4 linked regions of the Xenopus tropicalis genome follow. The protein of the gene in region 2 purifies or fractionates together with the protein of the main gene of each other region. This does not show direct contact. Links are inferred from orthologs where the notes say so. Each region holds a gene or a part of one and is shown on either strand. Other genes may lie near its edges. The genes, in order: srebf1, scap, srebf2 and insig1.

What was found.
Region 1: the proteins of scap (region 2) and srebf1 purify together in Homo sapiens (affinity purification with western blotting; 4 studies listed by BioGRID and IntAct, with this or other methods). This does not show direct contact. The link is inferred for Xenopus tropicalis from reciprocal best matches to the Homo sapiens genes SCAP and SREBF1.
Region 3: the proteins of scap (region 2) and srebf2 purify together in Homo sapiens (affinity purification with western blotting; 3 studies listed by BioGRID and IntAct, with this or other methods). This does not show direct contact. The link is inferred for Xenopus tropicalis from reciprocal best matches to the Homo sapiens genes SCAP and SREBF2.
Region 4: the proteins of scap (region 2) and insig1 purify together in Homo sapiens (affinity purification with western blotting; 11 studies listed by BioGRID and IntAct, with this or other methods). This does not show direct contact. The link is inferred for Xenopus tropicalis from reciprocal best matches to the Homo sapiens genes SCAP and INSIG1.

Annotation. Positions count from the first base shown.
Region 1 is NC_030685.2:15,370,573-15,375,061, forward strand, and holds the start of srebf1 (sterol regulatory element-binding protein 1), read left to right. Parts: upstream 1-1,393; 5' UTR 1,394-1,603; coding exon 1,604-1,709; intron 1,710-4,489.
Region 2 is NC_030682.2:6,968,029-6,971,900, forward strand, and holds part of scap (sterol regulatory element-binding protein cleavage-activating protein), read left to right. Parts: intron 1-1,011; coding exon 1,012-1,224; intron 1,225-1,724; coding exon 1,725-2,167; intron 2,168-3,145; coding exon 3,146-3,352; intron 3,353-3,872. UniProt on the Homo sapiens protein: Escort protein required for cholesterol as well as lipid homeostasis.
Region 3 is NC_030680.2:120,123,881-120,128,551, reverse strand, and holds the start of srebf2 (sterol regulatory element-binding protein 2), read right to left. Parts: upstream 2,848-4,671; 5' UTR 2,701-2,847; coding exon 2,628-2,700; intron 1-2,627.
Region 4 is NC_030682.2:16,642,089-16,645,960, reverse strand, and holds part of insig1 (insulin-induced gene 1 protein), read right to left. Parts: coding exon 3,770-3,872; intron 3,086-3,769; coding exon 2,986-3,085; intron 1-2,985. UniProt on the Homo sapiens protein: Oxysterol-binding protein that mediates feedback control of cholesterol synthesis by controlling both endoplasmic reticulum to Golgi transport of SCAP and degradation of HMGCR.

The sequences.
Region 1 (4,489 bases), on a different chromosome or scaffold from region 2:
ACAGAGGGGAAACAGAGGGGGGTACAGAGGGGGAAACAGAGCGGAGTACAGAGGGGGAAACAGAGGGGGGTACAGCGGGGGAAACAGAGGGGGGTACAGAGGGGGAAACAGAGGGGGGTACAGAGGGGGAAACAGAGCGGAGTACAGAGGGGGAAACAGAGGGGTACAGAGGGGGAAACAGAGGGGGTACAGAGGGGGAAACAGAGGGGGTACAGAGGGGGGTACAGAGGGGGAAACAGAGGGGGTACAGAGGGGGGTACAGAGAGGAAACAGAGGGGGAAACAGAGGGGGGTACAGAGGGGGAAACAGAGGGGGGTACAGAGAGGAAACAGAGGGGGGTACAGAGAGGAAACAGAGGGGGTACAGAGGGGGAAACAGAGCGGAGTACAGAGGGGGAAACAGAGGGGGTACAGAGGGGGAAACAGAGCGGAGTACAGAGGGGGAAACAGAGGGGGAAACAGAGGGGGGTACAGAGGGGGAAACAGAGGGGGGTACAGAGGGGGAAACAGAGGGGGTACAGAGGGGGAAACAGAGCGGAGTACAGAGGGGGAAACAGAGGGGGTACAGAGGGGGAAACAGAGCGGAGTACAGAGGGGGAAACAGAGGGGGTACAGAGGGGGAAACAGAGGGGGTACAGAGGGGGGTACAGAGGGGGAAACAGAGGGGGGTACAGAGGGGAAACAGAGGGGGGTACAGAGAGGAAACAGAGGGGGGTACAGAGGGGAAACAGAGGGGGGTACAGAGGGGGTACAGAGGGGAAACAGAGGGGGGTACAGAGAGGAAACAGAGGGGGAAACAGAGCGGAGTACAGAGGGGGAAACAGAGGGGGTACAGAGGGGGAAACAGAGGGGGGTACAGAGGGGGAAACAGAGGGGGGTACAGAGGGGGAAACAGAGGGGGTACAGAGGGGGAAACAGAGGGGGGTACAGAGGGGAAACAGAGGGGGGTACAGAGAGGAAACAGAGGGGGAAACAGAGGGGGGTACAGAGGGGAAACAGAGGGGGGTACAGAGGGGGAAACAGAGGGGGGTACAGAGGGGGAAACAGAGGGGGTACAGAGGGGAAACAGAGGGGGGTACAGAGGGGGGTACAGAGGGGAAACAGAGGGGGGTACAGAGAGGAAACAGAGGGGGGTACAGAGAGGAAACAGAGGGGGTACAGAGGGGAAACAGAGGGGGGTACAGAGGGGAAACAGAGGGGGGCGGGAAATAAAAAGTGTGTGAGTGCCATCAAAATATGTAGCTGAAGCTGAGGACTTTGCCATTTGCCCTGACAGTTTAGAGGTTAATTAACCCTTTCGCTCCTTTACAAAGGCAGTAAAGCGCTAGCAGGATGCAGGGGAAGGATGAGGGCGTGTCCCACGCTGTAGGGGGTGGGCATTTGGGGGCGGGCTCTCCCTGGCAGGTCCCGCCTCCTCCTCCCCAGTCGGTAGCAGGTTAGAGCTGCAGTTCTACTGAACTTCCCTACTGGTATCTAATGCAGGTATGGGGACCCTGTAATACTGCAGCCACTCCCAAGGGAAACATTGCTACCTTCCCTGGATCCCCCCACTTGCCCATGGCCAGCAGCCCTGCCTAAGGAGGAAGAGGGGAAGCAGCAGCAGCATGGCCAGCCTGGGGTACGATGACAGCTCTCTGGAGGAGTTGGACCCTTCTCTGTCCCTCCAGGAGACCAGTGACATTGACTCCATGCTGCTGAATGACATTGATGGTGAGTAACACTTGGGGGTGGGGGGAGAAAACGCAGCAGAAACTACAGCTCTCAAAGGGTGATGGGGGTTGTAGTACAACATCAGCACTGGGTTAAGTCTTCTCTTTGGCTTGTGGGGAGGGGGTTGGTAAAGAAGCATGTGACACTGTCATAGGGAAGAAACTGGGGGGAGGAAGGGATATTGGCCCCCATAGAGCTAATGGTTTAATGTTGTTAATTAAGGAAAGTAGGGAATAGGTTTCTAATTCTCCAGAGCATTGAACCTGCCCCCTCTCCCATAAATACCCCATCTTAAATGGGGGCAAATGGCTGCCCTCTTATGCCTTATTGACATTCTGATGCAACTCTTATTTGCCCAGCTGCCCCATGTGCTGCACTTCCTCTCAGCTCCTGTGGGTTACTAGGGCACTTGCCTCATTGCCCCGCCCCCTGCCTGACATCACCGCAGGGTTACTGTCGGGCATTGCCTGGCTTGTTTGTGCTGGGACATACAGGAGTGACAGGGGGCGTGCGTGTGTCTCTCTTATTATAGCACTGTCTATATTATTATTATTACATACAGACGTAATAATAGCACCAACATATGCCTCAGCGCTGCACCTCTACAGACAAAATCAAATAGTAATGAAGTCCCTGCCCCTACTGTACTTTTTACTGTACAGGTATGGGACCCGTTATCCAGAATGCTTGGGACCTGAGGTTTTCTGGATCAGGGGACTTTCCGTAATTCGGATCGCCTACCTTAAGTCTGCTAATAAAATTATTTAAACGGTAATTAAACCCAATAGGATTATTTTGCCTCCAATAAGGATTAGTTATATCTTAGTTGGGATCAAGTACAGGTACTGTTTTATTATTACAGAGAAAAGGGAATCATTTAACCATGAAATAAACCCAATAGGGCTGTTCTGTCCCCAATAAGGGGTAATTATATCTTAGTTGGGATCAAGTACAGGTACTGTTTTATTATTACAGAGAAAAGGGAATCATTTAACCATTAAATAAACCCAATAGGGCTGTTCTGCCCCAATAAGGGGTAATTATATCTTAGTTGGGATCAAGTACAGGTACTGTTTTATTATTACAGAGAAAAGGGAATCATTTAACCATTAAATAAACCCAATAGGGCTGTTCTGCCCCCAATAAGGGGTAATTATATCTTAGTTGGGATCAAGTACAGGTACTGTTTTATTATTACAGAGAAAAGGGAATCATTTAACCATTAAATAAACCCAATAGGGCTGTTCTGCCCCAATAAGGGGTAATTATATCTTAGTTGGGATCAAGTACAGGTACTGTTTTATTATTACAGAGAAAAGGGAATCATTTAACCATTAAATAAACCCAATAGGGCTGTTCTGCCCCCAATAAGGGGTAATTATATCTTAGTTGGGATCAAGTACAGGTACTGTTTTATTATTACAGAGAAAAGGGAATCATTTAACCATTAAATAAACCCAATAGGGCTGTTCTGCCCCAATAAGGGGTAATTATATCTTAGTTGGGATCAAGTACAGGTACTGTTTTATTATTACAGAGAAAAGGGAATCATTTAACCATTAAATAAACCCAATAGGGCTGTTCTGCCCCAATAAGGGGTAATTATATCTTAGTTGGGATCAAGTACAGGTACTGTTTTATTATTACAGAGAAAAGGGAATCATTTAACCATGAAATAAACCCAATAGGACTGTTCTGCCCCAATAAGGGGTAATTATATCTTAGTTGGGATCAAGTACAGGTACTGTTTTATTATTACAGAGAAAAGGGAATCATTTAACCATTAAATAAACCCAATAGGGCTGTTCTGCCCCAATAAGGGGTAATTATATCTTAGTTGGGATCAAGTACAGGTACTGTTTTATTATTACAGAGAAAAGGGAATCATTTAACCATGAAATAAACCCAATAGGACTGTTCTGCCCCAATAAGGGGTAATTATATCTTAGTTGGGATCAAGTACAGGTACTGTTTTATTATTACAGAGAAAAGGGAATCATTTAACCATGAAATAAACCCAATAGGGCTGTTCTGCCCCCAATAAGGGTAATTAAATCTTAGTTGGGATCAAGTACAAGGTACTGTTTTCTTATTAGAGAGAAAAAGGAAACCATTTTTAAAAATGTGAATTATTTGATTAAAATGGAGTCTATGGGAGACGGCCTTTCTGCAATTTTCTGTATAATGGGTTTCCTGATAAGGGGTCCGATACCTGTAGCTAGTGTGCATTATAGGTATGGTGGCCTGGGTGGCAGGCTATGCACAGGGCGCAGTATTCGGAGTGGTAGCAACACCCAGAAATTTACTTTAATAAGGGTCCGAAGGTTCAACATCACCCTCATTTATGTGTGCCATCTGCTTAATGATTTGGGGGTCATAACATATAGAGTATTCTTATGTAATTAGATGGAATCCATACCACACAAGCACATCAACATGTTGGCTGCCGCCATCTTTAGCAAAGGACGTTTATATAACATGCATGAGTGCGGGCTGCATAGATTTCAGAGTAGCCGTGCACACAGGATTTTTTAGTTATTGTATATAAAGCTGATATAAAATATATGTACAAAAGCAGGGTTTCTGTTGGTCTCTGTTTTTATATAAACTGTATGTTTTAATACATTGATGACAAGTGTGTTTCCCATAAATACTTGTTAATTATTATATTGGGAGTAATGTGTATCATTTGTAAATGATAAGGATATTAGCAGTCACTGAGGGGTTCTGTGACCATATAAAGGCACAAGGCTGCAGGCTGAGTTATACAGGGAACTCTG
Region 2 (3,872 bases):
CTATCCCTAGCCCTAACCTTATCCCTAACCCTATGCCTATCCCTAACCCTAACCCTAGCCCTAACCCTATCCCTAACCCTAACCCTATCCCTATCCCTAACCCTATGCCTATCCCTAACCCTAACCCTAGCCCTAACCTTATCCCTAACCCTATGCCTATCCCTAACCCTAACCCTAGCCCTAACCTTATCCCTAACCCTAACCCTATCCCTATCCCTAACCCTATGCCTATCCCTAACCCTAGCCCTAACCCTAACCCTAGCCCTAACCCTAGCCCTAACCCTAGCCCTTAGCCCTAACCCTATCCCTAACCTTATCCCTAACCCTATCCCTAGCCCTAACCTTATGCCTAGCCCTATCCCTAACCCTAGCCCTAGCCCTAACCCTAACCCTAGCCCTAACCCTAGCCCTAACCCTAGCCCTAACCTTATCCCTAACCCTATCCCTAGCCCTAACCCTATCCCTAGCCCTTAGCCCTAACCCTAGCCCTAGCCCTATCTCTAACCCTAGCCCTAACCCTATCTCTAACCCTATCCCTAGCCCTTAGCCCTAACCCTAGCCCTTAGCCCTAACCCTATCCCTAACCCTATCCCTAGCCCTAACCTTATGCCTAGCCCTAACCCTAGCCCTAACCCTAGCCCTAACCCTAGCCCTATCTCTAACCCTAGCCCTAACCCTAGCCCTAACCCTAGCCCTAGCCCTAACCCTAGCCCTAACCCTAACCCTAGCCCTAACCCTAGCCCTAACCCTAGCCCTAACCCTTGCCCTAACCCTTGCCCTAACCCTTGCCCTAACCCTTGCCCTAACCCTTGCCCTAACCCTTGCCCTAACCCTTGCCCTAACCCTTGCCCTATCCCTAACCCTAGCCTTAACCCTATTCCTAGCCCTAACCCTGTGTAACACCCTCTATTGGGGCTCACTAGGAACAAACTGTCAATACCAAAACAGGACAGTGCAGACTGGAGCAGAATAGCTACATTCTGGCATTTGATAACGTCTGTTTGCTTGCAGTTGGCCGACCTGAACAAACGGATGCCAGCAGAGGCCTGCATGCCTCCCCCCAAACCCGGCGCCAAAAGATACGAACGCCAGCCAGCCCTGCGTCCGGCCACCCCTCATACCATCACCCTCCAGCCTTCTTCCTTGCGAAATCTGCGCCTCCCCAAGAGACTGCGCCTGGTGTACTTCTTTGCCAGGACTCGACTCGCTCAGAGAATCATCATGGTAAGAACATAATATAATGCAGGCACTGGCAAACTGGGCAACAATGGCCGGACTGGGAGTCAAAATAGGCCCCGGAATTCCAAATACACAGAGGCCCAAACGGCCCCCCCAGCAGCCCAATAAACAGTGAGAGTCTAGGGCATCTTACAGAACCCACAGATTGCCATTCCGGGCCTGCTGGGCATGTTACTGCATGTCGGCTAAATACATGGGCAAGTTCTTAGGAAGCTGGATAAGGCTTCAAGGTCCAAGTGCAGATTGTAGTGACAGAGCCACAGTGTTCCCTATGTGCCCAGCTCATTCACAAGCATCCCCTGTGAAGGACACGCTGATAAAGAGCTGTAACTGGTTTGAATCCAAGGTCTGCAATAGCCTGGGTTTTTTCTAAGCTACATGCAGAAGTGTTAGTGACTCCCAGGCAGGAGGATGTGCTGTTATCCCACTGGGCAGTGGCCCCTGGTCAGTCACAGCCAGTTTAACTTTTCCTGTTTGCTCTACAGGCTGGGACGGTGGTCTGGATTGGGATCCTTGTATACACGGACCCCGCTGGGCTGCGCAATTACTTAACGGTTCAGGTGACGGAGCAGAGCCCCCTGGGAGGCGCAGTCATGCCTCCGGTTCCGGTACCAGTGCTGCCAGCATCCAACCCACAGAGCCCCCTCGCCGCCGTCTTCCCCACAGGCTCCTCCCAACTGCTGGAAAACCAGTCACAGAGAGACCGCAAGGAGGTGATCGACTCCCTGAGAGGGAGGCTGGATGGCAGCTCCAGGGTTTGGGAAGAAAGTCTCCCTGAAGACAAGGGCAGAGAGCGAGCGGCGGGTAAAGAGGACAAAGCCCATACGCAGGTTACCTGGGGACCCGAGGATGAGGAGACCTGGAGGAAGCTGTCATTCAGACATTGGCCAACCCTCTTCAGCTACTACAATATCACTCTGGCCAAAAAGTATGGGGCAACTTCTTGTACAAAAATATAGCAAACTGTACCTTCTTGCAGGTCCGATGGCAGTAACCATATCCGACTGTGCCATAAAGCGTACAGCACGGGGCTGCAAGTTCTACGGGAGGGGCACAGAACATGGCTTTTATTTGGTTTCATACAGTTATGGGATCCATTATCCAGAAACCTGTTATCCAAAAAGCTCTGAACTATGGGAAAGCCATCTACCTAAAGGTGGCCATACACTGTAAGATCTGCTCGTTTGGCGAGGTCATCAAGCGAGTGGATCTTCTCCCGATATGCCCACCTACAGGTGGCGATATCGGGCTAGCGCTGTCGGTTCAGGGACTGTATCAACGAGCCGATGTGTTCCCCGATCCGACGGAAAAATCAAACCTGCCCAATCAAGATCTGCCCAATTTCAGGCCATATGTTAGTCAAGGAGGCCCGTCGGTGGTGCCCATACATGAACAGATAAGCTGCCGAATCGGTTTAACCCAAATCTGCCCGTGTATGGCCTCCTTCAGTCTCCAAAAAGATTTCCTTTTTCTCTATAATAATAATACAGAGCCTTGTACATGGCCCTATCTAAGATATAATAATCCTTTAGTTTGTTTTGATGCAAGTTACAGAAAGACCCCTTATCTGGACAACCCCTGGCCCCAAGCATTCTGACTAACAGGTCCCATAGCTGTATTATCATACTGATTGTCTGGCTGAGACATATTTTCCTTCTTTTCCTGCACATATTACAGCACGAATCATGAATATAAGGAATGCTCAGAAGAGCTAAGCAATATGGCAACCCCCACTTTTGCACAAATGCAACTAGCCAGTAATATTTATTGGTGCATTGGCTGTATAGAGAGAATGGCTTCCATATGTATAAAGCACTGGGTCTGTGATGTTTTGTGCCACTGTAGCAGGTTAGGGAATTGCTTTATTCTGTAATGAGGCTCATGTAGAAATGTATTAATCTCCTAGGTACATCAGCATCTTACCCATGATTCCCGTCACCATCTACCTGACGCCACAGGAGGTGTCCGACGCACGGCACCCACAGGAGGCTCAGCACTCGCACCCATATCTGCAGCGGGAAGGGAAGCCAGAAGAAGCCTGGGTTCGCGTAGAGGCAAAGGGGGCTGAAGAGGCCGCCAAAAATCAGATGCCAGCAGATGTCACCTTATACAAGTAGGAACTGCCGGGCTCTTACTGCCATTTGCCTTCCTCTTAAAAGGGGTTTGTCCACCTTTGAGTTAACTTTTAGAATGGTGTATAGAGTAATATCCTGAGACAATTTGCAGTTGGTCTTAATTTTTCATTATTTTTATTATTTCAGTATTTGTTCGGCAGTTCTCCAGCTTTGGAGTTTCGGCAGCTATTTGGTTGCTAGGTTCCAAATTACCTTAACAACCAGGGTGTGGTTTGAATGAAAAACTGATATAGGAATAGGAGAGGGGCTATTCCTGGGAAAGGGTTGTTCGACCCCCAAAGGGGTCCCGACCCACAGGTTGAGAACCGCTGAGTCAGACGAAGAAGGCAAATAATTAAAAAAACGATAAAGAACAAATAATGAAGAATGAAAAGTTGCTTCTATAACATACCCCCTATTAAATATTATTTTACAGGCTTCCTAAAGGCACACACTCCCTTTTTGGTGATTCGCTGATATAAATATTGGGTATATTATGATATATTTTTAACCCAACCC
Region 3 (4,671 bases), on a different chromosome or scaffold from region 2:
ACACCACTTTGCATGTCACATCTAAAAATACAGGGGAAATAACACACATGCACAAAAACAATTTCTGTTCTTTGCCTGTATTTATTTCTATCCACTGCATATCTGCTTTCAGTGTTAATACATAGGGGCACATTTACCTATCCACGAACGTCCGAAAAGCGCCCGAACGTGTTTTTTTTGTAATGGTCGGTATTTCGCGATTTTTTCGTAAATTGACGCGACTTTTTCGTAGCCATTACGACTTGCTCGTAAATTGTCGCGACTTTTTCGTAGCCATTACTACTTGCTCGTAAATTGTAGCGACTTTTTCGTAGCCGTCGTGCCGAGTATGAAAGTTTCGGAATCATTCAAGCTTCAGTATCGTGACTTTCCTTGGGCCGGGTTGGAGCTGCAGAGTGCCGTTGAGCCCTATGGGAGACTTTCCTTGGGCCGGGTTGGAGCTGCAGAGTGCCATTGAGCACTATGGGAGACTTTCCTTGGGCCAGGTTGGAGCTGCAGAGTGCCATTGAGCCCTATGGGAGACATTCCTTGGGCTGGGTTGGAGCTGCAGAGTGCCATTGAGCCCTATGGGAGACTTTCCTTGGGACAGGTTGGAGCTGCAGAGTGCCATTGAGCCCTATGGGAGACTTTCCTTGGGCCAGGTTGGAGCTGCAGAGTGCCATTGAGCCCTATGGGTGACTTTCCTTGGGCCAGGTTGGAGCTGCAGAGTGCCATTGAGCCCTATGGGAGACTTTCCTTGGGCTGGGTTGGAGCTGCAGAGTGCCATTGAGCCCTATGGGTGACTTTCCTTGGGCCAGGTTGGAGCTGCAGAGTGCCATTGAGCCCTATGGGTGACTTTCCTTGGGCCAGGTTGGAGCTGCAGAGTGCCATTGAGCCCTATGGGAGACTTTCCTTGGGCTGGGTTGGAGCTGCAGAGTGCCATTGAGCCCTATGGGTGACTTTCCTTGGGCCAGGTTGGAGCTGCAGAGTGCCATTGAGTCCTATGGGAGGCTTCCAAAATCATGCAAAGTCGCAAAGGTTTGCCCGCCGTTTACGAGCGCTCAATACGAAAAAGTCACGACAATATACGAGCAAGTCGTAATGGCTATGAAAAAGTTGCGACAATTTACGAGCAAGTCGTAATGGCTACGAAAAAGTCGCAACAATTTACGAAAAATCGCAAAATGTTTGTTTCCAATCCGATTTTTTCCCATTCGGGATTCGGATTTGTGGATTAGTGAATCAGCCCCATAGACTTCAGCATCACCTGCCCTAAAAACCAACCAAACATCAAGGTAAGTGCAGTAAAATACTGAGACCCAAGCTTTGTTTAACTCTATATCTAAACAGCACTTGATTTATGTTTTCAGCAGAAAAATACATTGTTATTGGACCTGCAGTAAAATCTTTTTAGGACTCCATTAAATACTTTGGAAAGACAAGGTACCACACACATATACTGAAACTGGGTATCAGTCATGATGCTTATTCCTCAAACACCAGCAGCTGCTATCCCTGTTGCTTAAGCCTGAAATGAAGGCTATAAATCTAGGGGACGGTAAGGCATTCTATTATAAAGAATGCAAGATGATTGGCACTTTTGCTTAACTGATTTGTTGCCTTTATAACAAAATGTGACATTTTAGTCCAATTCATGTCCAGAAACTAAATTCATTATGAGCAAATGACAAACGTCATTAGGTTTCAGATGCAAATGATCTTCATCTCAGAGTAAAGCAGGAGGAAAAGGGGGTGGTTACGTAATACTTAGCAACCTACATAAACAGGTCAGCCTTCTTGGTTTGGGAAATTAATTAAAATAAAATACCCAAATCACACAGAATGCTAGAAAAGGACAGGTCACAGGAAAGCAGAACCTTTACCCACAAATACAATCTAATAGAAGAAAAGAGTGTATGGACATAGGATAAAAGCAGCTACTCAGTTATGGATGTAGCTTTTTTTTCCCTGAGGAAGAGCACAGTGAGTGCTCGAAACGTTGGATCTCTTTTCTTAAATAAATTTATTTTTTGTCAAGTCCTGGTGTGTGCAGCTTACTTTCTTGCTTTATATTTTTTGCTAGCACCCTGGGCATTTGAACTTCTATAGGGTGTGCTCCGTTTGTTCTTGCTATATTATATATATATATATGGTACAGATGCCCTAGCCATTAAAGCATCAATGCAGTAAATATACAGTAAATATACAGTCCTACATAGACTTGCATCTCCTTCCCCCCCAAACCTTTCCAGCCCAAGTGGCCCAGACCAGGCGCAATGCCTGTAACTAACCTTAATCCGGCAAGGTATATAACAAGGTATATAACAACACAGCCAACACAACCCTAACAAGTTAATGATGAATTATTTCCTTCTGGAATTTGTAATCATATTCTCAGAAAAGGCGTGATTACTCAATGGATTCCACACACTGCAATGAAATGGGGGCCCAACATAAGGACAAAAAGTACTGGATATCAGGAATGACACGGCTAGTCCCCTAAACCGCTAGAGCTGTGTAAAACTACAACTCCCAGCAACCCCTCTTTGACAGCAGCAGGCTAGCTACGCTGTTACTATTTCCCAAACTACAGAAATGTTTTCGAGCCGCACCCCCCTGCAGAAAGATCCGTTCAGTTCCACTCTTACCGTCAATATCCCCTAGGGTGAGCTCATCTCCGAGTTCCGTCAGCGTCTCCATATTTTCCATGTTTAGTTCCATATGATATCCCGGGCTGTGACAACCCTAGCGCTCCCGAAAGGAGCCGGTTCTTGGTTCCCTATTACTGAACCTCACGAACCTGTCACTGACAAAACTGACGCCATGTTTGGGCACCACCTCCCTCCACACTACATGACGTCAATCCTATGTCTTCCAAACCTCGTTTCAGTGCCATGGTTAGAAGCCCAGAATGGATCCACAAAGAGGCGTGAAACGCACCCCGCCCCTCCCCCACCCTGACAGAACTGGGCCGCCTGACGCGGGAGTAAGCGGAATGCCCCGCCTCTTTGCCTTGTACAAACGCGTGCTGGATGTTTTGTTGTCAATGAGACCAGACGCCCCGGACGAATGAGCGAGCTTGACAAGCTGTGGTGTGATACGACGTCAGTGATCAGGGGATGTTGTATTTGCATAGGGGCCCGCCTTGTGTGGTTTATTTAGGAGCACGCCTACGGGGGACATTCAGTGAGGTGTTGCCACTGCTCTGCTGCTGCTGGGAAGCCCATGAAATAAAAAGGGACGGTGTTAGCAAGAGAAACGCCGCTGTAGTGTTACTTATTCAGTTCTTTGGGTTTTAAGAAGAAAATAAAGGAGTAATTTAGTTTCGTTGTGAAAGGTGCAACTAGCTAATAAGGAAATGTTATTAGACAAGCTGTTAAGGAAGTGAAATAATATTGTACTATATGTTATAATAGAATGAAAAACCTGTGCTGTATTGGTGCAGTTATGTGAGTGCTCATTCTGGACTGTGTCTTGGGCAAGTGACATGAGATTAGTTGCCCTGCAATTGATCTCAACTAAAGGTCCCCATACACTATAAGATCATCGCCAAGCGAGCGGATCTTTACCCAATATCCCCACCTACGGGAGGGCGATATCGGGTAGCAAGTTGCTTTAAAAAAAAAAAAAAAAAAAGCCAAACGATCGGATTACAGTTGCGGCCATGGGGCAGTCGGTTCGGGGACCGCATCAACGAGCCAATGCGGTCCCCGATCCGACTGGATTTTCTAACCTGGCCGATCGATATCTGGCCAATTTCAGGCAAGATATAGGTCGGCCAGGCCGCTCGTTTCTGCCCATACACGGGCCGATTAGCTGCCGAATCGGTCCAAGGGACAGATATCGGCAGCTTCTATCGGCCCGTGTATGGGGGCCTTAACTGTGGCAACTAATCTCCTTGAATGCTTTCCTGCCAGTGAGAATGTAGTAGTAAGAAGTAGTAGTCGCCCAATGTTGCCTCATGAGGTAAAAAAACATTGGGCCCCACAGAATGGAACTGCTTATAAGTGAGTGCAAGTACTCAGGAACAGAACTAAAGTTCAACACGGATATTTGTATATTTTGTTGCAGAAATACTTACGTATTTTAGTGCCAAAATCTGCTCCATGTGTCTGCCACTGAGCTGACTTAGTTTAAATTTTATCCTGGATGGTAGGGGAAGCCAGTGCAGGGATTGGCAGAGTGGCACGGCAGAGCAGGAGGGGTTGGAGAGGTGTATGAGCCTGGCAGCAGTATTCATTATGGACTGGAGAGGGGACAGTCTCTGAAGGGGAAGGCCAATAAGCAGAGAGTTACACTAGTCCAGGCGAGATATGATAAGAGAGTGAATAAGAATTTTGGCAGCATCTTGGGTGCTAAATGATCGTATTTTGGAAATATTTCTTTGGTGAAAGTGCCATGATTTGATAAGTGACTGGATATGAGGAGTGAAGGACAGGGCAGAATCAAGGATAACCCCAAGGCACCGGGCCTGGGAAGATGGGGTGATGGTAGAATTGTTAACCGTTATAGATACCTCGGGAACAATGTGATTGTTGGATGGGGGAAAGAGAACCAATTCAGTCTTAAAGAAGGTTTAATTTAAAATAACGTTGGGACATCCAAGTAGGGATAGTGGACAGGCAGGAAGAGACACGAGTTAGGAGCTCTGCGTTGAGATTAGGAGAGGAAAGATAGATTGGAGTATCATCA
Region 4 (3,872 bases), about 9.7 Mb from region 2:
GAGGGAATACAGGGGTAGTGGAGATAGCTCTCAGTACAAGTGAGGGAATACAGGGGTAGGGGAGATAGCTCTCAGTACAAGTGAGTGAATACAGGGGTAGGGGGGATAGCTCTCAGTACAAGTGAGGGAATACAGGGGTAGGGGGGATAGCTCTCAGTACAAGAGAGGGAATACAGGGGTAGGGGGGATAGCTCTCAGTACAAGTGAGGGAATACAGGGGTAGGGGAGATAGCTCTCAGTACAAGTGAGAGAATACAGGGGTAGGGGAGATAGCTCTCAGTACAAGTGAGGGAATACAGGGGTAGGGGGGATAGCTCTCAGTACAAGTGAGGGAATACAGGGGTAGGGGAGATAGGTCTCAGTACAAGTGAGGGAATACAGGGGTAGGGGAGATAGCTCTCAGTACAAGTGAGGGAATACAGGGGTAGGGGAGATAGCTCTCAGTACAAGTGAGGGAATACAGGGGTAGGGGGATAGCTCTCAGTACAAGTGAGGGAATACAGGGGTAGGGGAGATAGCTCTCAGTACAAGTGAGGGAATACAGGGGTAGGGGAGATAGCTCTCAGTACAAGTGAGGGAATACAGGGGTAGGGGAGATAGCTCTCAGTACAAGTGAGGGAATACAGGGGTAGGGGAGATAGCTCTCAGTACAAGTGAGGGAATACAGGGGTAGGGGAGATAGCTCTCAGTACAAGTGAGGGAATACAGGGGTAGGGGGATAGCTCTCAGTACAAGTGAGGGAATACAGGGGTAGGGGAGATAGCTCTCAGTACAAGTGAGGGAATACAGGGGTAGGGGAGATAGCTCTCAGTACAAGTGAGGGAATACAGGGGTAGGGGGGATAGCTCTCAGTACAAGTGAGGGAATACAGGGGTAGGGGAGATAGCTCTTAGTACAAGTTGCCCCAGGGACTGGTCCGATTGCCAAGATCTATCTCCCCTACCCCTGTATTCCCTCACTTGTACTGAGAGCTATCTCCCCTACCCCTGTATTCCCTCACTTGTACTGAGAGCTATCCCCCCTACCCCTGTATTCTCTCACTTGTACTGAGAGCTATCTCCCCTACCCCTGTATTCCCTCACTTGTACTGAGAGCTATCCCCCCTACCCCTGTATTCCCTCTCTTGTACTGAGAGCTATCCCCCCTACCCCTGTATTCCCTCACTTGTACTGAGAGCTATCCCCCCTACCCCTGTATTCACTCACTTGTACTGAGAGCTATCTCCCCTACCCCTGTATTCCCTCACTTGTACTGAGAGCTATCTCCACTACCCCTGTATTCCCTCACTTGTACTGAGAGCTATCTCCCCTACCCCTGTATTCCCTCACTTGTACTGAGAGCTATCCCCCCTACCCCTGTATTCCCTCTCTTGTACTGAGAGCTATCCCCCCTACCCCTGTATTCCCTCACTTGTACTGAGAGCTATCCCCCCTACCCCTGTATTCACTCACTTGTACTGAGAGCTATCTCCCCTACCCCTGTATTCCCTCACTTGTACTGAGAGCTATCTCCCCTACCCCTGTATTCCCTCACTTGTACTGAGAGCTATCCCCCCTACCCCTGTATTCCCTCACTTGTACTAAGAGCTATCTCCCCTACCCCTGTATTCCCTCACTTGTACTGAGAGCTATCCCCCCTACCCCTGTATTCCCTCACTTGTACTGAGAGCTATCCCCCCTACCCCTGTATTCCCTCACTTGTACTGAGAGCTATCCCCCCTACCCCTGTATTCTCTCACTTGTACTAAGAGCTATCCCCCTACCCCTGTATTCCCTCACTTGTACTGAGAGCTATCCCCCTACCCTTGTATTCCCTCACTTGCTAAGAAGCCATCCAGACCCTTCTTAAAGCTATATAATGTATCAGCCAGCACGACTGATTCAGGGAGGGTCTTTTTTTTTTTTTTGCATTCTCAGCAACCATCCAATATACATTAATTGCTTTGAACTCTTGATACAATGTGGAAGCCAGCTGGTTAACAGATCTAGAGAACATCTGCTACAGTTACTGAAGTCCGAAAAGAAAGGGCCAAGGGGTAGTTCAGCTTTAAATTAACTTCTAGTATAATGTATTGATATTCTGAGAATTTGCAAAGTTGTTTTTTTTAAATGTTTTTTCTGGTTATTTTACTTTTTGCTCAGCGGCTATCCGGGTTTGAATTACCCTTCCAGGCAGTGGTTTGAATGAGAGATGGGAATATCAATAAAAAAGGGGCCGATTAGAAAGATAAGGAACAAAAAGCAGCAAAATTGTAGCCTCACAGAGCAATAACTTTTAGCTGCCAGGGTCAGCGACCCCCATTTGAAAGCTGGGAAGAGGCGGCAAAAAACTCAAATTATAAAAAAAAAAAATAATGGAAACTGAATGCAAAGTTGCTAAGAATAGGGCATTCTATAATATACTAACCCCCATATGTAATAAAAGGCACTAAGATTGCCCTGGTGCAATAAGCCACAGCAACCAATAAGATGTTTGCTTTTTAACAGGTGACCAGTAAATTCTACCTGCTGACTGGTTGCTATGGGTTACTGCTCCTGGGCAAATGCAGGGCCTTTTATTACATCACCCCCTAAGGGTTCCGAATCTGAATTGTGCTGGAAAAGGCTTCGATTTGTCCAAATTCTGATCCAAATCTGGAATTCTGGATATAAGAAGGGTGTTCAATAATGATGTGCAGGTCAACCAATAGTCAACCCGCACCTGAACCTAACCTGCCCCTTCTAAATCCGACCCAACCTGCTTTGTGACTGCAGCGCATGACCCTCCCCATCTCTGACATCATGGAGAGTGCGGGGCAGGTATGAACCTATAAATAGACGCTGCTAGAGCCTGAAGCAGGGCTCAGTTACATTGCTGGTACTGAGGGAGGTAGAAGACCTTGGCCCTAACCCGTCCTCGACCAGTTTCTGACGTGTGGAAGTCAGTCCCAAACCCATCCGACCCACGGGCTTAGGGCCGGCCCGCACATCCCTAGTGTTCACTTACCATTGCTAATTGCCTTCCTATGTTCCCGACAGTCACTCCTCCCGAGAAAAAGATACAAGGCAGCCATGATCTAATGTACAGGAAGTCTGGGGAGGTGTACCTAATGTAAGCAAAAATAAGGTCATTAATTCATGTACCGTATAAAAAAAAAAAAAAGAGCACATCCTGTGAAAATACGTATTGCAGAGCTATTCCAATATACAAGATTAGAACTCATCCACTTTCTATTCATTCCTATGGGATTTTTAAAAGCGTATTTATCAAAGGGTGAAAGTGATAGTTCACCTCTTCAGTTATTTAGTTTTTTTGTTTAACACTTGTCCAGGGTGGTAATGCTGCAGCTATCTGGTTGCAATGGGGCAAATTACCCTAGCAACCAGACAGTGGTTTGGACAAAAGTTGGAAAAATGAATAGAAAAAGGTCTGAATAGAAAGATAAGTGATGCAAAGCAACAATAACAATGATATCGTAGCCTCACAGAGCAATTGTATTTTTGCTGCAGGGGTCAGCGACCCCATTTTAAAGCTGGAAAGAGACAGAAGAGGAAGCAAAATAATTCAAAAACTATAAAAAACAATTAAGACCAACTGCAAAGTTGCTAGGAATAGGGCATTTTATAAGATACTAAAAGTTTATTAAAGGTGAACCACCCCTTTAACTTGCCTCTCTGAAACAAAAGTCCCTCTAAAACGTTTGCTATGAAGGTTGACATAAGCAATATTGTAGAATAAAAAAACAAAACTGTAAGAGTGATAGTGTTTATCCTATAAGGGGGTGACTTACTGGTATACGCCATTGTAGACAAGAAACTGTGTTATTAGTGTGGCAAGGAAGGCAATTGTAATGCCAAGGCCCAGACCACTTCTGGAACGATCAAAGGTCCACC